Caenorhabditis elegans: one gene and its partners. The protein of the gene in region 2 interacts with the protein of the main gene of each other region in a pairwise test. Each region holds a gene or a part of one and is shown on either strand. Other genes may lie near its edges.

Evidence for each region.
Region 1: the proteins of gba-2 (region 2) and Y45G5AM.9 interact in a two-hybrid assay, tested with the Caenorhabditis elegans proteins (one large-scale study listed by BioGRID).
Region 3: the proteins of gba-2 (region 2) and athp-3 interact in a two-hybrid assay, tested with the Caenorhabditis elegans proteins (one large-scale study listed by BioGRID).
Region 4: the proteins of gba-2 (region 2) and pud-1.2 interact in a two-hybrid assay, tested with the Caenorhabditis elegans proteins (one large-scale study listed by BioGRID).

What each region holds. Positions count from the first base shown.
Region 1 is NC_003283.11:4,188,497-4,193,072, reverse strand, and holds the start of Y45G5AM.9 (Aftiphilin clathrin-binding box domain-containing protein), read left to right. Parts: upstream 1-1,557; 5' UTR 1,558-1,564; coding exon 1,565-1,789; intron 1,790-2,925; coding exon 2,926-3,057; intron 3,058-3,064; exon of another isoform or gene 3,065-3,208; coding exon of another isoform or gene 3,209-3,371; intron 3,372-4,062; exon of another isoform or gene 4,063-4,175; coding exon of another isoform or gene 4,176-4,290; intron 4,291-4,342; coding exon of another isoform or gene 4,343-4,464; intron 4,465-4,540; coding exon of another isoform or gene 4,541-4,576. Other genes in the region: nhr-114 (Nuclear hormone receptor 114), read right to left, coding at 3,209-3,371, 4,176-4,290, 4,343-4,464, 4,541-4,576.
Region 2 is NC_003280.10:2,181,974-2,188,345, reverse strand, and holds gba-2 (Putative glucosylceramidase 2), read left to right. Parts: upstream 1-1,911; 5' UTR 1,912-1,924; coding exon 1,925-1,964; intron 1,965-2,576; coding exon 2,577-2,780; intron 2,781-2,830; coding exon 2,831-2,983; intron 2,984-3,382; coding exon 3,383-3,516; intron 3,517-3,558; coding exon 3,559-3,631; intron 3,632-3,957; coding exon 3,958-4,295; intron 4,296-4,563; coding exon 4,564-4,695; intron 4,696-4,795; coding exon 4,796-4,876; intron 4,877-4,923; coding exon 4,924-5,087; intron 5,088-5,596; coding exon 5,597-5,828; 3' UTR 5,829-5,852; downstream 5,853-6,372. Other genes in the region: mtq-2 (Methyltransferase HEMK2), read left to right, coding at 801-1,130. UniProt on the Caenorhabditis elegans protein: Glucosylceramidase that catalyzes the hydrolysis of glucosylceramides into free ceramides and glucose. C.elegans contain specific sphingoid bases, which are unique or different in structure compared to the sphingoid bases found in other animals.
Region 3 is NC_003282.8:17,045,963-17,050,392, reverse strand, and holds athp-3 (Zinc finger PHD-type domain-containing protein), read left to right. Parts: upstream 1-2,035; 5' UTR 2,036-2,039; coding exon 2,040-2,144; intron 2,145-2,320; coding exon 2,321-2,728; intron 2,729-2,800; exon of another isoform or gene 2,801-2,821; intron 2,822-3,223; coding exon 3,224-3,424; intron 3,425-3,496; exon of another isoform or gene 3,497-3,517; intron 3,518-3,729; exon of another isoform or gene 3,730-3,750; intron 3,751-3,763; coding exon 3,764-3,910; 3' UTR 3,911-3,923; downstream 3,924-4,430.
Region 4 is NC_003283.11:2,321,533-2,324,136, reverse strand, and holds pud-1.2 (Up-regulated in Daf-2 domain-containing protein), read left to right. Parts: upstream 1-1,570; 5' UTR 1,571-1,597; coding exon 1,598-1,853; intron 1,854-1,899; coding exon 1,900-2,099; downstream 2,100-2,604. Other genes in the region: pud-2.2 (Up-regulated in Daf-2 domain-containing protein), read right to left, coding at 613-824, 871-1,123.

The DNA of each region.
Region 1 (4,576 bases), on a different chromosome or scaffold from region 2:
TTTAGTGTCAGAGTGTCCCATTTCGGCTTGATCTACGTAGATCTACAAAAAATGCGGGAGAGTTCTCAACTGATTTTGCATGGTTAAGAACGTACTGACGTCACACATTTTTCTGGGAGAAAGATTCCCCCGCATTTTTTGTAGATCAAACCGTAATGGGACAGCTTGACACCACGTGTTTTCACCTGAATTACGATGAAATCAATTTTATTTCTGCGTAGGTTGAAAATTAAGATTGATGGCCACTATGGGACACTAGAAGAACCGGTTCCAAGAATTTTTTTTTTCGCCGAAATTGTTTTTTTTTCTTTCACTAGAAATATCGTGTGACCTTTAACAATTTTGATATTTTCTCATAAAATTGTATTATAATTCCTCATTTTTTGGCTGCTAAAACAGAAATTTAGCCAAAAAAAAAAAGAAAAAAAGCGTAAAAGTACGAGTATCTTCAGGCCTTCTGGGACCATTTTTGGCACGAAATGTGAGAATATTTTTTAGAAAAAAGATACACAGATCGTTAGTTTCGAAAAAAATTGCCTTATATCTCCAATTTTCGATTTTTTTTTTCGACTTCTCCGTCTCATAGCAGTGAGAAATTGATTTTTATTCAATTTCGCCGTTTTTTTTTGCAAATTTTTTGTTTTTATGCTACATTTTTTGTTGATTTAAGCACATTTAAAACTGATATATTACGGAAACACTGAATTCTGTGAATGCGTACTGCGCAACATATTTGACGCGCAAAATATCGTGTAGCGAAAACTTCAGTAATCCTTTAAATGACTACTGTAGAGCTGGTGGCGATTATAATTTTTCGAGAATCATTTTTAATCTAAGAAATATTTGAAGAACACAAAAATTAACAAATAATTCCTTGTGTTTTCGTTTAATATTTTATCGATTAAAAATGATTCTCGTAAAATTATAATCGCCATCAGCTCTACAGTAATCATTTAAAGACTTGCTGTAGTTTTCGCTACGAGATATTTTGCGCGTCAAATATGTTGTGCAATACGCAGCATTCTCAGAATTTAGTGTTTCCGTAATATATCAGCTTTAAATGTGCCTAAATCAACAAAAAAAACGTAAGATAAAAATCCAGATTTGCAACAAAAAAAAACACCCATTTTCCATTCTAAATCATCAGCCGATCGATCGATTTTTGCTAAAATCTGGAATTTCGCCATTTTTCCTTGTCGCGGCAACAAGGAAAAAATGGCGAAATTTTTGGATTTTTGGGTGAAATTACTTTTTTCCGGAGTTTTGAATCGGCATTAAAAACATTTTGAGCAATTTTTGAACAGTTTCGTTATGAAATTCGGTGTTTTTGAGTCATTTTTCACGCAATTTTTGTATTTCTATTGAAATTTATGAGGCACCACGTTTTCAAGATCTTTTCAAAAACAAGATCTACGAAAACAAGATCTACATTTTCAAGATCTACGAAAAAAATCCTAAACTAGACGCGAACAGATTTTGAAAACGTGGTGCCTCGAATTTCTTCTCAATATCCCTCTCCCACACCAATTTGCCATCCAAAATCGATTAAATTTCCAGCCGATCGATGGAAATCGATGGGGGTCCACCTCCATTCTGCGGCGTCGCTGTCGACGATTCCTATGACAAAAGTGAGCAGCACGAATACGATGAAGTCGACGATTCGCCCGACTCGACGAGCCTACCGCTTCCATCAGCATCAAGAAGTCGGTCGGTGACTCCTGTGAAGGATATGGCTGCCGGACATGAAGCTGTTCCAGAAGCATCTGATAATAATGAAAAGGGAGATACGGTAAGAAATATATATATATATATATGCTGAAATTAACGATTTCCGTAATGAAACTTCTCGAAAAAATTCAAAAATTTCCTTATAAAACTAGCTAATTTTAGCTTAAAATCTCCAATTTTTCGGGAAAAAAACTTCTAAAATTTTCTTAAAAAACTGGCTAATTTTAGCTTAAAATCTCCAATTTTCTATTTAAAAAAACATTTTTGTACCCAAAATGAAATAAAACAGTGTCAAATTACCGAATATAAATGTTTAAAAATTTATGGAATTTTCCTACATTTATTAAAAATACTTTTTCAGTTTTGCAACAAAAAAATAGGTAGAAAGAGTTGAATTATTTTTTTGTGCAAGTTCCCGCGCAAATGACGTCATTTTCGACATTTTCGATTTTTTACAGAAATTTTTCAGTTAAGAAAATCCTAAAATTGGCCTGAAAATCAATAATTTAACAGTAGAAAAACTTTTTCTTCGGAAAAATTTCCGAAAAAAATTGTGAAATTATGTTTCAAAATGAAAAATTGAAGAAAACCCTATCCGGATTTGCCGGAAATTTTGATTTTTGGCAAATCGCCGGTTTGCCGGAAATTTTCATTTTTGGCAAATTGCCGATTTACCGGAAATTTTGATTTTTGGCAAATTGCCGGTTTGCCGGAAATTTTCATTTTTGGCAAATTGCCGGTTTGCCGGAAATTTTCATTTTCGGTAAATTGCCGGTTTGCCGGAAATTTTGATTTGTGGAAAATTGCCGGTTTTGCCGATTTGCCGGAATTTTTCGTTTTCGGGAAATTGCCGGTTTGCCGGAATTTTTCGTTTTCGGGAAATTGCCGGTTTGCCGGAATTTTTCGTTTTCGGCAAATTGCCGGTGTTCCGATTTGCCGGAAATTTTCAATTCCGGCAATTTCGCCGATTTGCCAGAAAATGTCATTTTCGACAAATTGTCAGTTTGCCGATTTGCCGGAAAAATCGTTTGCCCCCGACCCCTGCTTTGAATTATGAACAAAAACCTTCAATCAACTTTAAAATAGCAATGCAACATTTTGAAATTAAAATTTGCAATCAATTTTTTTTGTCAAAAAATGTTCTAAAAATTGAACTAATTTTGCCAAAAATTTACCCCAAAAATCCCGTAATTTCAGATGACGACTGCATTATCACAGGACGAATTTACGGGATTTCAAAATTCGGAAATACAGAAAGAAGAAGACGATGACGACGATGAGTGGGGAGATTTTGGAGAAGCCGTTGTTGCTGCTGCACCAATTCAGGCGGTAAGAAAAAAAAGTTAAAACTTTATTGCAAAAAAAATACCAAAAAAAAAAAATAATAATAAACGTATATAAATAGGATTAGCATTGAGATTTTTTTTCAAGCGTGTAAATATTTCTGGAAATTAATTTATTAAATTTAAATTTATTCACTTCACAATTTGTGAGCAACAACGCTCGTCGTATCACCGAAAAACAGTTGCCGGGCAAACGCCGAGAAGCCGATATTCTCGAAAAAGTCTGCAATCCACACGGCCTCTTTCGATTCGCACGCCATTTTTGACATGGACGTTCCCATCAGAACCAATCGTGCGAATCTGCAACACGGGGATGAAATTGTGATCTATCAGTGCCGGGGGCTAAAAATTTTGGTAAATTGCCGAACTTTTGGTACATTCTCAAAATTTTAATAAATTGCCAATTTTTTGATAAATTGCCTAAATTTTGGGAAATGTTCAAAATTTTGGTAAATTCTTAAAATTTTGGTAAATTGCCAATTTTTTAATAAATTGCCAAAACTTTTGGAGGCACCACCGAAAGGAGAACATGTGAAAAAGGAGAATTACGAAAAGGAGAACACAAAACCACGCCCATTTTTCCATGCCGCGCGCAAGTTTTTGCAGAAACTTGTGCAAATTTTTATTTTCAAACGAGATAACGCGAAGCTCCGAAAGAACGTATCGCGTGTTGTTTATCACACGAATTCGTTAGTTCGGATCTTCGTTGTCTCGTTTGAAAATAAAAATTTGCACAAGTTTATGCAAAAACTTGCGCTCGGCACGGATAAATAGGCGTGGTTTTGTGTTCTCCTTTTCGTAATTCTCCTTTTTCACATGTTCTCGTTTCCGTGGTGCCTCCCAAAATTGTGAGAATTTTTCCAAAATTTTAGCATTTTACCAAAATGTTGAGAATTTACCAAAATTTTAGCATTTTACCAAAAATTTGAAAATTTAGCAAAATTTAGAGAATTTACCGAAATTTTGGTCAAAGTGTTCCAACTTAGCTTACTTAGCTAGTCCGCAACAAGACACATCAAATTGTGATCTATCAATGTTTGATTTGATCGACAAGCGAGTAATAGATGAATGCATCAAAGGAAGGAAAAACGTGATTTCACCAACCTTTCGATTGCCGTGTCCACGTCGTCTTTCATGGCCATGTAGCCGTATAACTGCTTGGTGATGCGGACTCGTTCGTTGTTCACAAGCTTGCGAGCCGGTAGAGAGATGTCAGCGTCTGGAATCGCATCAAAGTGAAAGTTTGGCTCTTATTGAGATTCCGCCCGGACCTGGATTCAGAAACGTTACCGCTTTGAACGCTGCAAATTCGGTTGCGTCGAGCTGTAGATCACGGAACGGCTTGAGCACGAGATCCAACATTTGATACTTTTTCCTGTTGAGTCCGGCTGGCCTATAACGATTGAACACAACGCGGAACGAGACGGGAATTGGGGCTCGGTTTGGAGTATATGTGACCGACAACTTACCGGGTTGGCTCTGGAGTACGATCGAAGTAGGCACCA
Region 2 (6,372 bases):
AAGTTGAAAAAAAATCATAAAAGTCGAAGGCTTTTGAAGAAAATTCCTCGAAAACTGGTGTCCACAATTTTTTATCAGAATTTTCATTATCAAATTCGAATTCACCGCTATTTTCTTAGTCTAAACCTCAATTTTCAGCCCAAAATCCGAAAATTGCGTAAAATCGAGTGTTTTGGGGTACTGTAGCTGGTGTTTGCGTACTTTTGACGCTACAGTAACCCTCAAAATTTAAAAATTGAGCTGGGAAGCTCTAGTTCTCGAGTTTCTGACTGAAATTTTAAGAGGAATTCGAATTTACAATTCAAATTCAGAAATTATCAAGTAATTTTGACACGCGCTGCGGTCGCGTCGCGGCTCGAAACTCGAAAATGTTTAAAATAACGCTAGAAAAGTCTAGTTTTTTTGCAACTTATTTAGAATTTAATGGAGAATTCAAATTTCTAATGGAATTATAAAAAAAAGAAATCTCAGAATTTATAGAAAATGTCTCCCGGTAACACAATTTCCGTGATATTTCTCGTGTTTTTATGTAAATTTTTGAACTCTCCACAAAATTCCCAAAGTTTTGACACCCATATCGACTAGATTCGGTCAAAAACCCAGGGTTTTGGCTTTTTAACGTGCGTTGCGGTCGCGTCGCGGCTCGAAACTCGAAAATCTTCAAATTTAAGCTACAAACCTCTAGTTTTCGATTTTCTCACTGATTTTTCGCAGGGATTTCGATTTTGCCGATGAAAATTTAGGTTTTCTGAGTTTTAGCGACGAAAATTTTCTTTTTTTTCCAAATTTTTATTTTCCAGGTAGACGTGCTCCTCTTCAACCCACCGTACGTCCCTACTGACGAAGAGCCCAAATCAAACATCGAATTGACCTACGCTGGCGGCCGAACCGGTAGATCAACGCTCGATCGTCTTTTGCCACGTGTCCCCGAGCTTCTGTCCCCACGTGGTGTCTTCTATCTCGTCGCACTTCACTCGAACGATATCCCGGCACTGCTCAAAGAGCACTCGGAGCAAATGACGGTGTCAGTGTCAATGGAGCGCCGTTGCGGCATCGAACATTTGTATATTTTGAAATTTGTGATGAAGGAGAATAATGTTAAAGCGGCGCCACTTGCGGAAATTGAATAAATTTGTTGTTTTTCTTGGATTTTCGATAAAATTCACGGAACTTCAATAAAAAATCTGAAACCACTGCATAATTTCAGTTTGTATTCGAGAAAACTAGACGTTTCTAGCGATAATTTGAAAATGACCACTGCAAGGCCGCGACGCGACCGCAACGCACCACAAAAACCTTTTTATTGACGAATTCGAATTCTCCACTATTCAATTAGTCTCTCCATAAATTTTTAGCTTAAAATTCGAAAATCGCGTAAAATCGTGTGTTTGGGGGTACTGTAGTCGGTGTTTGCGTACTTCCGGGGCTACAGTAACCCGGGAAACTCCAAAATTGAGCTAGAGAGCTCTAGTTTTCGAGTTTCAGGCTGAAATTTTGCAAGGAATTCGAATTTTACGGTGAAAATCTAAAATTTTGCGATTCAGATCATTTTTAGACAGTTTTAAAAAACTAAAAAAATTCTGATCTGCTTAAAAACTTTTTGCCACATTTTCCAAATCTTCTCAATAGCTCGAATGTGATTGTTCCTAATTTCAAATAAATTTTCAAATGTGAAATCATCTTCTGACTTGAGTTTTCAGTCAGTTTCTAGTCACTTGTGACTTCCAGGCCACAGAAAAGCACAAGAAGCACACACATTTTTGTGCGATTTTGTGTGGAAAGTGACCAAAAAGTCAGTAGCTGGCTAGAATCACAGGCTACTGATAAGAAAATGACTTCATCAGTACAAATTGAACTGATTTCTAGCTTATCAGTATACGAGTATTTAAGTTGAAAATGAGAAAGGAGGAGTAGTCTACACATAATGTCTATAGCCTGGAGTTGCTTTGTTTTAGGGCTTTTTGGTGAGTTTTTGATTTTATAAACTTAAAAAAAAAAAATTTTCCAAAAAAATTTAGAATGTTTTCTATTTTTTTCTTAAATGTCCACTAAAAAATTTAATTTTCCACTTCATTTCTAGCTAAACACAAAAAACTAGACCTCTCTAGGTCCATTTTGAAGATTTTAGTATTTGAACCGCGACACGACCGCAACGCACCCCAAAATCCTAAAATTCTTGGATTTCATCCGAATATAGTCGATATGGGTGTCAAAACTCAGCAAATTTCACCAGGAACTTGATTTTTATTACCTAAAAAAGTTACGATATACCGTTTTTCCAAAAAAAAAACTTTTCTTTAATTTATCTTTAAAAATTTTTGAAAACAATATTAAACAATTTTTTCAGCACTCAATTCGAAAGCCAATTCAACTCAAAATTTTAATATTAATACAAAAAACTAGACCACTCTAGCTCCATTTTGAAAATTCCCATATTTGAGCCGCGACGCGACCGCAGCGCACCCCAAAATCCTATAATTCTTCGATTTTGTCCAAATATAGTCAATATGGGTGTCAAAACTCAGAAAATTTCATGACTAATTCGAATTTTTCAACGAAAAATTCAAATTTTTCAGCCCTCGCCTCCCTCCAGGTGGCACTCGCCAATGATTGCGCCCAAAAAACCTTCAAAACCGGAATTGTGTGTGTCTGCAACATAACTTATTGCGATGAGATCCCAGATATCAACTTACTATCCGGGCAGGCTGCCACATTCACAACTTCCAAATCCGGAGCCCGACTGCATCGGGATGTGGTTTATGCGACAAATAGTGACCCTTGTAAGCAACTTTTTTTTTGAAAATTTTTACCGTAATCTCAAAAACTACAGTAACCAGCATGCACTTCACAATTGACTCGTCAAAAACATATCAGACAATCCAAGGATTTGGCTCAACGTTTTCCGATGCTTCTGGTGCGAATTTGAAGAGCTTACCCGATCAGATGGCTGATACAATTCTGAGACAGTATTTTTCGGATTCTGGTAAGTTATTCGATAGAAAATTCAAATCTCTACAACTTTCCCTCTTGAACCAACATTCTAGGACCAATTTGAAGAAAGTTATAGCAATAGTTCAATGGAGCGCGTTTGCACCATCGAAATTTTTTGCCAATTTTCAATTCCTTGTAACTTTGTTCAACGGAAAGCTACGAAGTTGGTGCAAACTGGAAAATAGTAGATCATAACATTTTCTATCGATTGACATAAATTTTGAATAAAATCTGTGAGGTTTTGCAAGTGCGCTCCATTGAAATTTGGCTATAACTTTGCTCAACGTAGTAATAGAGCGTTGGTTCAAGAAGCGAATATGTAGAACATTAAAATTTATATAAAAATGCAACTGCGCTCCATTGAACTTTTTACCTAACTTTGCTATTTCAGGCCTGAACCTGCAATTCGGACGGGTTCCAATTGCCAGCAATGACTTTTCAAGTCGTGTCTACACTTATGACGATAACCTTGAAGACTACAATATGGCACATTTTAGCCTGCAAAGGGAAGACTATCAGTGGAAGGTACTATTAGGCCTATTAACAAAAAAAGACTGAAAGTTTCAGATTCCGTATATGCAAATGGCGCAGAAGTACAACCACGATTTGAAGTTTTTCGCCGTGCCGTGGAGTGCGCCAGGTACGGAATTTTCCAGAGTTTTTTATGCCATTTGATAGAAAATTTCTTGATCTACAAATTTGCCTCTTGAACCAATTTTCTAGGACGCCGCTAAGTAAAGTTATGTCAAAAGTTCAGTGGAGCGCACTTTCACTAAATCTCAAAATACGCATATGCGCTCCATTGAACTTTCTGCATAACTTTTTTCAACGGGGTCCTATGAAGTTGGCACAAGAGACAAACTTGTAGATCGTAACATTTTCTATCGAATGACATACATTCCGACAAGCTAGTGCAAACGCGCTCTACCGAACTCCCCCCTGAAATCTATTTATTTCCGCTTCCAGGCTGGCTAAAAACCACGAATTCCACCAAAGGGTACGGTATCCTACTAGGCACCAATCAAGACACCTACCACAAATCCTACGTCACTTATATCTTACATTTCTTGGAAGAATATCAGAAAAATGGGATTCTCTTCTGGGGCTTGTCAACTCAAAATGAGCCAACTAGCGGAAGTGATAAGAAGACTAAAATGCAATCAATGGGATTCACGGCGGAATTTCAAAGAGATTTTATTAAGCTTGACATTGGACCAGCGCTGAAATCTTCGAATGCTGGAAAAAATGTGAAAATTCTGATTTTGGACGATAATCGTGGAAACTTGCCAAAATGGGCAGACACTGTGAGTTGTAGTGTTGAAATTTGAAATCTCCGTAAAATTTGCAAAGTTTTGAACCCCATATTGACCTATTTCTGAGCAGTTTGAAATTTTGGACTTGCGTTGCGGTCGCGTTGCGGTCGCGTCGCGGTCAGATTTTCTGAAAGGCTGATTTCTGGCGAAATCCGAGCGAATTTTGAACTGAAAATTTGTGGCTAGACTAAATAAATTATGGGGAATTCGAATTTGACAATGAAATCATCGAAAAAGTTTCAAAATTTAAATTTTCCAGGTTCTCAATGACAAGGACGCAGCAAGTTACGTCTCCGGAATCGCCGTACACTCTTACCAGGACGACGAAAGTGACAAACATCTTACACAAACCCACAATAACCACCCAGATGTGTTCATTTTTGGTACAGAGGTGGGTTTTGGGTCTCACCACGACTTTTTTGTATGATAAAATAGAGCAAAAGTTTTTGCGGAACGAATTTCCAAGTGATACCAATTTATTGATTTTTCAGGCAAGCGAGGGGTCTAAATCGAAGGATGTGGATTATGGTAGCTTCGATCGAGCAGAAGACTATGTTTCGGACATTTTAGATGTTAGTTTTATAAAATAAGCAATAAATTATCGATTTTTATCTCACAGGATTTCAATAATTGGGTTACCGGATGGACGGAGCGTAACCTGGTGCTAGATGCTCAAGGTGGACCGTCCTGGGTTTCGGGATTCGCGGATGCTCCGGTCATTGCGTTCCCCGCATTGGCTCAATTCTACAAGCAGCCCATGTTTTATGCAATTGCACATTTTAGGTAGGTTTCTATAGGTTTTTGCGAAAAATTACTGAAATATTTGAATTTTCCGTTAAAATTGGGTCTAGAAAATCTGAAATTTGAAATTTTATGGGAGATATTTTGAAAATTCCAATTTATAGCTGAAAATTGTCTGAAAATGTCCGAAAATTAGCTTAAATCTCATTTTATTTTAGTTTTCATAGAGAAATTCAAATTCCTCGTCAAATTTCAGCTTAAAACTCAAAAACTAGAAGTTTCTAGCTCAATTCTGAATTTTAGTGGGTTACTGTAGCTCCAAAAATACGCAAACACCGACTACAGTACCCCCAAAACATCGAATTTGACGCGGTTTTCCGAATTTTGAGCTGAAATATCAGGGAAAACGTATGTTAAAAAATAATGGGAAATGGAAAAGAAACTCGAAAAAAAAAATTTTAGGGAAAAAAAATTTCGAAAAAAAAAAATTCCAAAAATTTTTTTAAAAAATTTTTCTCCGTCAATTTCCCAACACATTTTCCAATTTTCAGTCATTTTCTGAAGCCCGGAGCAGTTCGAATCGACCATTCACTGAACATGCCAAACCCAGAAATTGAACGAAGTGCATTTTTGAATCCGGATGGCTCAAAAGTCGTGGTGCTCCATAATAAAAATCCTTTGGCACCATATAGTTTATCAATTAAGGATACTATGAAGTCTACTGATCATTATCAAGTTCATTTATCACCTAAAACAATTGTTACGTTGTATATTCAAAATTAGAATAAAATATCAATTTTTTAAAATTTTATTTTTGAAAAATTTAAAAAATCGTGTTGAAACCTGAACTTTTAGTGTAAAAATTTGAATTATTCATTCAATTTCTGAAATTTTAAGCCCCATATCGACTAGAATCGGTTCACTTTGAAATTTGAGCCCCGCGGCGCGGTCGCATCGCGGTCCAAAACTACTAAAATTTAAAAATTGTTTAATACATGCCAATATGGGTGTTAAATGGATGGAAATTTTTAGAAAAATTCGAAAACATGCATAAAAAAGTTTAAAACTATAGGTAAGATGAGTTTTCGATTTTCGACCGCGACGCGACCGCGCCGCTTTCAAAAATTTAAGTTTTATATTGCCTCAAATCATAGCATTGCAGGTGTCAAAGTGATGCAAAATAGCTTGAAACTTAAATTATTCGAACAGACATCCTCTAAAAACGTGGAAAACTTTTTATCTAGCGACTTTTTAGTCTGGACCGCGACGCGACCGCGCCGCGTCCCAAAAACCACCAAAATTTCAAACTGCTTCAAAACATGTCAAT
Region 3 (4,430 bases), on a different chromosome or scaffold from region 2:
CCACGTAAAAACGTAGATTCATAATAGATTCAGTCCATCTAACCGACAAACTCCAAAACTCTTGAATCCAAAAATTTCAGATAAAAAAATCGAAAAACCGACAAATTTCTGGAACTGCCTTTGAAGAATGCTTTTAAAAAATTGCGTTGAAAAATTCAGTCAGTTACATTTTTTTCGCAAATTAATTGTATAAATCTATTGAAATTATAAATAAGATCATCGGATTGATTAAATAAAGTATTTAAGCAGACCCATACTTGTTATTAATATGAAACAGTAAAACCAAATTGCAATATTTCTTTAATTGTCAGTACTAAACAAAATCTACATACTTAAACATCAAAATGCTGGAAAATTAGAGAAAGTGCTGAATTTTTCTGAAAATCAGGAAAAAGTTTAGAAGTGTCTTGTTGTACGGAAATTTGGAGAGAAATTGAAAATTTGATCAACTGATTTTTGGTTTGATCTGGTTTTTTAACTCCTGAACATTTTAAAATGATTGGAAATAATAAAACAATAGAACAGATTTTTTCTAGATTGTCGCTTAAAAATTGCTAAATTAATTATTTTATGAAATCACTGTTTCAAAACATTCGTTTTGGTGATAACTATTTTCAACCAACAATGTTTGAAGCAAATTGCGCAATTTTTTTTCAATCTGGGTGAAATGATTTTGAGCGGAAATTTTCAGTAAGTGGTGTGGAATGAAACTGGAACAAAAGATGGGAAAAATATTAAAGTTCACAAACAGTGAAATTTCGTTTCATCTCAAACAGGCCAGCAAATCTGAAACCGGAAGTCTTTTCGTCTTCACGTTTCTAATAAAATTAATTCAACAAAAACAAACAGGTCTAATCAAATCTTAAGTTTAATGCTGAATTGAAATTGAATCATTTATTGGGTACCAGGGCTATGACGTCATACTTGGTGTTCCAACGGTTTTTCAACTCTTTCGAAAGTTGGTACATATACATCGCCTCCTTTCAATGACCCTATGACGTCCCTGTTCATCCAGACATATCGATTTCCCAGACGAAAACTTGCTCTTGGCAAAGACGAAGGATAGAACAACACAGCGTCCTCTGTTTTTGTTCTTACAATCATTTTTATAGACCTGCCATCTATTTTGATGTTTTTGTCTTATTTGCTCTTTACATTACTTGTACGGTCTCTAAATATATTTTCCTTACTCCAAAAATTTTCTGTTTCATGAAATCTATTTAAATTCTTATAATTATAATGGCGGTAGTAGAGCCATCGTTCATCGAATTTTTTTTTTACAGTTTCATAGGTTTCATTAAAACAATCAAATTTAATGCACTAACGCTGCGGAAGAATACCGAGTAGTTTAGGCTTAATTTATTATGACACTTGAAAAGTAAGCGAATTCATCAATTTTTATTAGGGAAATTCGATAAAATTTTAGCCTATAATATGTTCAACTTTGGCAGTTTACATCTATCTTGGTTATGGGTTATCAAAAAATTTCAACTGCAAAGGTTTTGATTATCTAATTTTCTACATATTTGCATTAAAAATTTTAATTTCAAAAATGAACCAAGCTGCTATAGTGGAGGTTCAAGATGTAATCCAATCAGTCACCAATTTTTCACTGTTTCATGAAAATTATCAATTTCATTATTTTTAATGTTTTTGTTGATAGTGGCGGATAAAATGAGAGCAATCTAGTAATAACATTTTTCTGTTACATTCTTATTTCTCAGAAATTCGTGCATTTTTAAATGAGTTTATTAATTCATTACCAGTTTTTAGTGACAGTTAAAATATCTACAAAAGTGTTAACCCAAATTTTTTTGTAACACAATTTCCTTCTGTTTTATAATGTCTGTTTAAGCTCTAATGTCAAACGTTTTTAATCGATTCGTATAATGCAGAAATCAGTTCTATAAACACTAAAGTAGCCTAAAAATATCTAAAACAGCTGCCCAGATTAATTTTTTTTGTTCAAATAAATTTTCAGTTAATTTTATTTTAATTTTCTCTATTACTCATCCACTGAATTATCGATTTTCAGAAAAATGAGCTACTTATCAGCAATCGAGAACCAGGAGAACATGGTTGTCAAGCAAGAAATCAAAATTGAGGAGGAAGACGACGATTATCCCCTGAGCACAATTGATATGGTTAGTTAAGTAATCAGCACTTTTCTCAATTCTTTAAAATACTTTTTGAATTTTTGTTCTAGTTCTGAGCTGAAAATTTGTTCAAATTTAATCAAAATTTCTCGGTTTTAAGCTCCATCAAAAGGCAGCAAATAGGCTTCAGGCCGACACGTAGGCAAGCATTTATTAAAATTCAGGCAGTACAAGCTCTGATCCGTAACCCACATCACAACGTGGACTACATCTGTGGAGTGATGATATTTGGAGGATCAAAGAATCAGTTTAATGAGTTGCTCAATCCTGTAGTGGTGGCTCAAATGAGCAAGCAGAGAAAACAAAAGAAGGTTCCAGTAAAGAATCCAGCAGGAGAAGCCAAGAGAGGAAGAGGACGCCCAAGAAAACAGAGTTCAGAGGAGAAGGTGCAGATTCCAAAGGTAGTTGTGAAATTTGAGCCAAAGAAGCGTGGAAGACCAGCTGGAGCAGCGAAATGGAGCCAGGAGGTAGCTGTAGTGCTCCAAAAGCAGCCACAGAGGAAAAGAGGACGGCCTCTGAAAATTGCGAAAAAGATTGAGCCGGTGTTTCATCAGAAAAAGGAAAGTAAACAGGTTAGTGTTTAAAAAAAATTTCATAATGTTTCACTGAAACAGTAAAGTTTTCAACTTTTGTGAAATTGTCAATTCGAAGGATACATGACCAAAAAATTAGAAATTTTTAAATTAAATTAAGAAATAAAAGTGGAGTTTCGGATTGAATTTATATTTTAAAATCCTAATCTATCAAAAAAATTTGATTTCTCAGAAAAAAACCATTGTTCGACACTTTCATTGCCAGAGAATATTTTGTATTTTTTATTTTTAGAATTTTTTCAGGCCTAATTTTTTAGCTTAATTTTTTGAATTAAAAAATTTTCTAGAAGTTGCAAAAATTCTTCAATTCTTGAAAATTGAAAAAAAATGCTTTGGAATTCTGAAACTTTTCGCAATAAAAAAACTTAATTAAATTTGGAAAATTAGACTACTAAAAATGTAGGATTTTAGAATTTCTAGAATTTTTAAATTTAAAATTTTTAATATTTAATTTCTAGAGTTTTTTAAATTCAGAACTCGGAGGAAAAGGCTCTGATTCAACAGGAAGCTGTGAAAGGTGAGCCAAAGAATCGTGGAAGACCATGTGGAGCAGCAGAAAGGAGCCGGGAGGTAGTCAAGAAGCTCCAGAAGCAGCCACCAAGGAAAAGAGGAAGGCCTCTGAAAATCGCAAAGAATATGGAGCCGGAGATTAATCAGAAAAAGGATACTAAACAGGTTAGTGTTTCAAAAAAAATTGAATAATGTTTCACGGAAGTAGTAAAGTTTCCAGTTTTTTTAAGGTTTCAATAAACTTCAATCAAAAAAAACAAAAATTACCACATATTTATCATTTCAAAACTGATAGTTTTTGAATTCTGAAATTTTGATTTTTTTTTTTGAAATCTTAATATTTTAGATGCCTACGTACCTGCCTAGGTTCTTGCAAAACTTAAAATATAATTTACAGAAAAAATGAAAGAGTTCAAATTAATTCTGCTTCATTACCGAATAAACAAAGTGTCAAAAAAATTAAAATTTATTAGTTCTTTATTTCGAAACTGTCCTAACTTTCAGGTCCATGTCTGCCCAATCTGCACTCTGGCAAGCAAGAACGGCACCTGTCTGTGCACAAAATGTCAAAAATGGGTACATTTGAAGTGTACTGGAATCCGGAGCAAACAGTGGAATTCGCAGTTTCAGTGCAAAAATTGTACATGCTGAAAATAATTGGACACATGTTTTATTTTTGTTTGTAGATTTTTAAAAATTAATAAAAAATCGAATAAATCCATTATTTGTTTTTCAATTTATAAAACTTGAATGACCATTCTGAAACAGTAAAAAATCTGTAAAATGTCGGCAGCTATGGTCATTGAATGACGGCTGCCTCTACCCGTTAAATGTTGGTTTTATGTACCTATGAGATGTCGGTTACACCTACCTGTAAGAGATCAGTCGCTGTATAGGTTAGCTGTTCATTTCTTCGATGTCATAAATATCAGCCATCTACACCCATTAATTGTCGGATGCTTAAATCCGCTAGATGTCGGTTGCTATGCCTATTCGTCATGAGCCAACAATGCCAGTGAGATGTCCGTGGCTATACCCGTGACATGTCAGCCGCTTATGTGATGCTTTCAAATCTGGAATTGCAAATCCTCCACGAAATCAGCGTGTTTGATCAGCTCGTTTGATATGCTTGAAAATTTATCAATATTATGAAACAGTATATTTTTCGTAA
Region 4 (2,604 bases), on a different chromosome or scaffold from region 2:
ACAGGATTTAACAGAGAAGTTTTATTTACCAAAGAAGTCACCTACAGTAACACCAAAATTGTTGGGTATCAACGTGTATTGACCCACGACGTGGCTAAAAAGATCGTACAACGTGAACTCTATGAACTAGCTTATTTATTCCTTAGTTTAATGTAATAATAAACTACTCGTCTTCGCCTCCTCGTTCTGCCTCAATACATAACAATCTGCCTCAATACATTAAGTTGTCTCTGAGCACAAATAGGCCGATATATTTCCAAACGCAATACGTTTTTTAAAAATCATATTTGTATTACTTACTTGCGTACATAATGTAAAACGTCTCACACGGTTAATGTCTCTACTACGTATTAGGTGTAGGCACCGGTAGGCACTCTGGTAAGGAATAGAATTCCTGATTCGATATGATGTTCTTCAAAAATGTATTTTATTTTATAGGGCCCGCTCAGAAAACTTCAGAAAGTGTAAATCACTTCTAGTGGACTGTTTTTGAGCTCAGGGTTTAGAATTCAAGTTTGATTGGTACGCATGAAAAATTATATTAGATAAATTACAATAAATTTATTGAAACTTTTAAAGAAAATCTATTGATAAGAATTATTGACTGAAAATTTAAACATCATGTCTATAGAAGTCAGTAGTCGATGTTCCACTCTTGGATACAAATTGAACTTCTTTCTCGAGAACCTTGATTACTGTAGTTTGGGCATGGTCTTCTACTCTCAAAGTGTGTTTTTTCCAATCAGCCCCATCTGGATGTCCACTACGCCAAGCTTCACCGAGAATACGAACCTTTCCATCAACCACTCCATTCTTATCGTCTACTGTAAATTAATTCCTTCAAAACTATCAAAATATAAGTTAACTTACAGTTTGTCTCAATCTGTTTGATTCCATGAACCTTCCAATTATCAGTACCAGTTGTAAATGGTCCAGTGTTGTAGTGAACTTTCTCCAGAATTTGGGCACTTTGGTTTGGCTCCAATTTCACCCATTTTGAAGCTTCCAATGCATTGCCGGTATACTGATGAAGCACTTGGAACTTGAACACATGGTCACTTTTGTTCTCAATATCCACTTTGGCCCATTGTTCTGTCACACCTGATGGTTCGTCGCTTGCCATTTCTTGAAACGTTGAAGAGAATCGACTCACTTGAGTTTCGATTGATTTCGTGTATTTCCAACTGACTTTAAAAAGCAGTTCAAGTGGGTGGAGTTAAGCACATTACTTGTCAATAGATAATGTTTCAATACTGATATAAAACCTTTGGTCTATGCTTATCTGTCATTACTTTGTGTTCTTTGTCATTTTCAAGCAACGTGTCTGCGGTTTTGACGTCAAGAAACCAAAGGTGTACCAAAAGAAAGCACAACTTTATGATCAATTTTCATGATCATAGTTCATGCTACATGAAACTAACAGGCAAACTGTTCAATTTCATGTTCTTTATCAATTTCACAAACAATCAAACCACAAAAATAGTCAAAGAGAGAAGATCACTTGCATTCCTTATCAATAACTCCACCTCCTCGTTTAGTTTAAAATGGTTACCGTATCAACTGATAATTCAGATCGTTTCTTGACTGAAAACTGATCATGTCGACTGATCCAACTCCACCACAACTCACGAGACGCACTGCAAAGGTTTCAATTGATAATCAGACTGGAAGTCACTTCAAGTTTCAAGTGACACATAAATACACTGGATGGGATGCGGATAAGTCTGATGTTGTGATGTTCCAGCCTGATGAAGTCAAGGAAATCTTCAAAAGTGTCGCCTATAACACTGGATTCTTGACAACTGGAGTTGACAATTGGCTAGTGGATGGTACGATGGTTCAGGAGAGAACTGGTTTGTGGAGTTTTATCTTTTGAGAATAAAGAACTTGAAATTTCAGAAGTGGATAACAAAGGTCACCAAATCGGAAAGAAATCCTACATAGAGCATGCGAAATTCATCAGTGACTCGAGATCATGGAAGCAGCATATGCTAACAGCTGAAGATGACGGAAAAACTACCACGATCCGTGTTTTCCCAACCGAAATTCACTTCATCTCTCCAAGTGGGGAATCGACTACCACTTTCACTAAATATTGATTTCATGTTTTATTTGTAGTTACTTTGAGTTTCTGTTTGAGCAGCGATATTCTTCGTAGGAGTACTTTTCTTAAGCTTTTTTTTTTGAAATAAAATTCATTCTCAAAACTATTTCCAAGCAAAGCTAATTTTTGATTGAAGCTAGATAATTGTCATCAACAGTAATTGTAGAATTTTAGCTTTTTCTGTATTAGGAAATCTACCGTTTCAACCTTTTATACACTTTTCTATCTTTCCACTATGTCCAATTTCTTTTTACAAATATAACAAATATACGACAGCGCAAATGGGAACTAGGACTTGCACTCGTGACTCCCAGGTTGCGAACGGCCACCACAACCGACTGAGCTATCCCGACCCAGGTGCATATTTTCGAATGGCTAAATATTTTCAAATTACTGAACGAATGTTGTCAGTGAAAATTGTCTATTAATTTGGCTGAAAAATATTTTTATAAAAATACAAAATCAGGTCAGGTATTCAGATCAGTCTCAAACTTGATTCA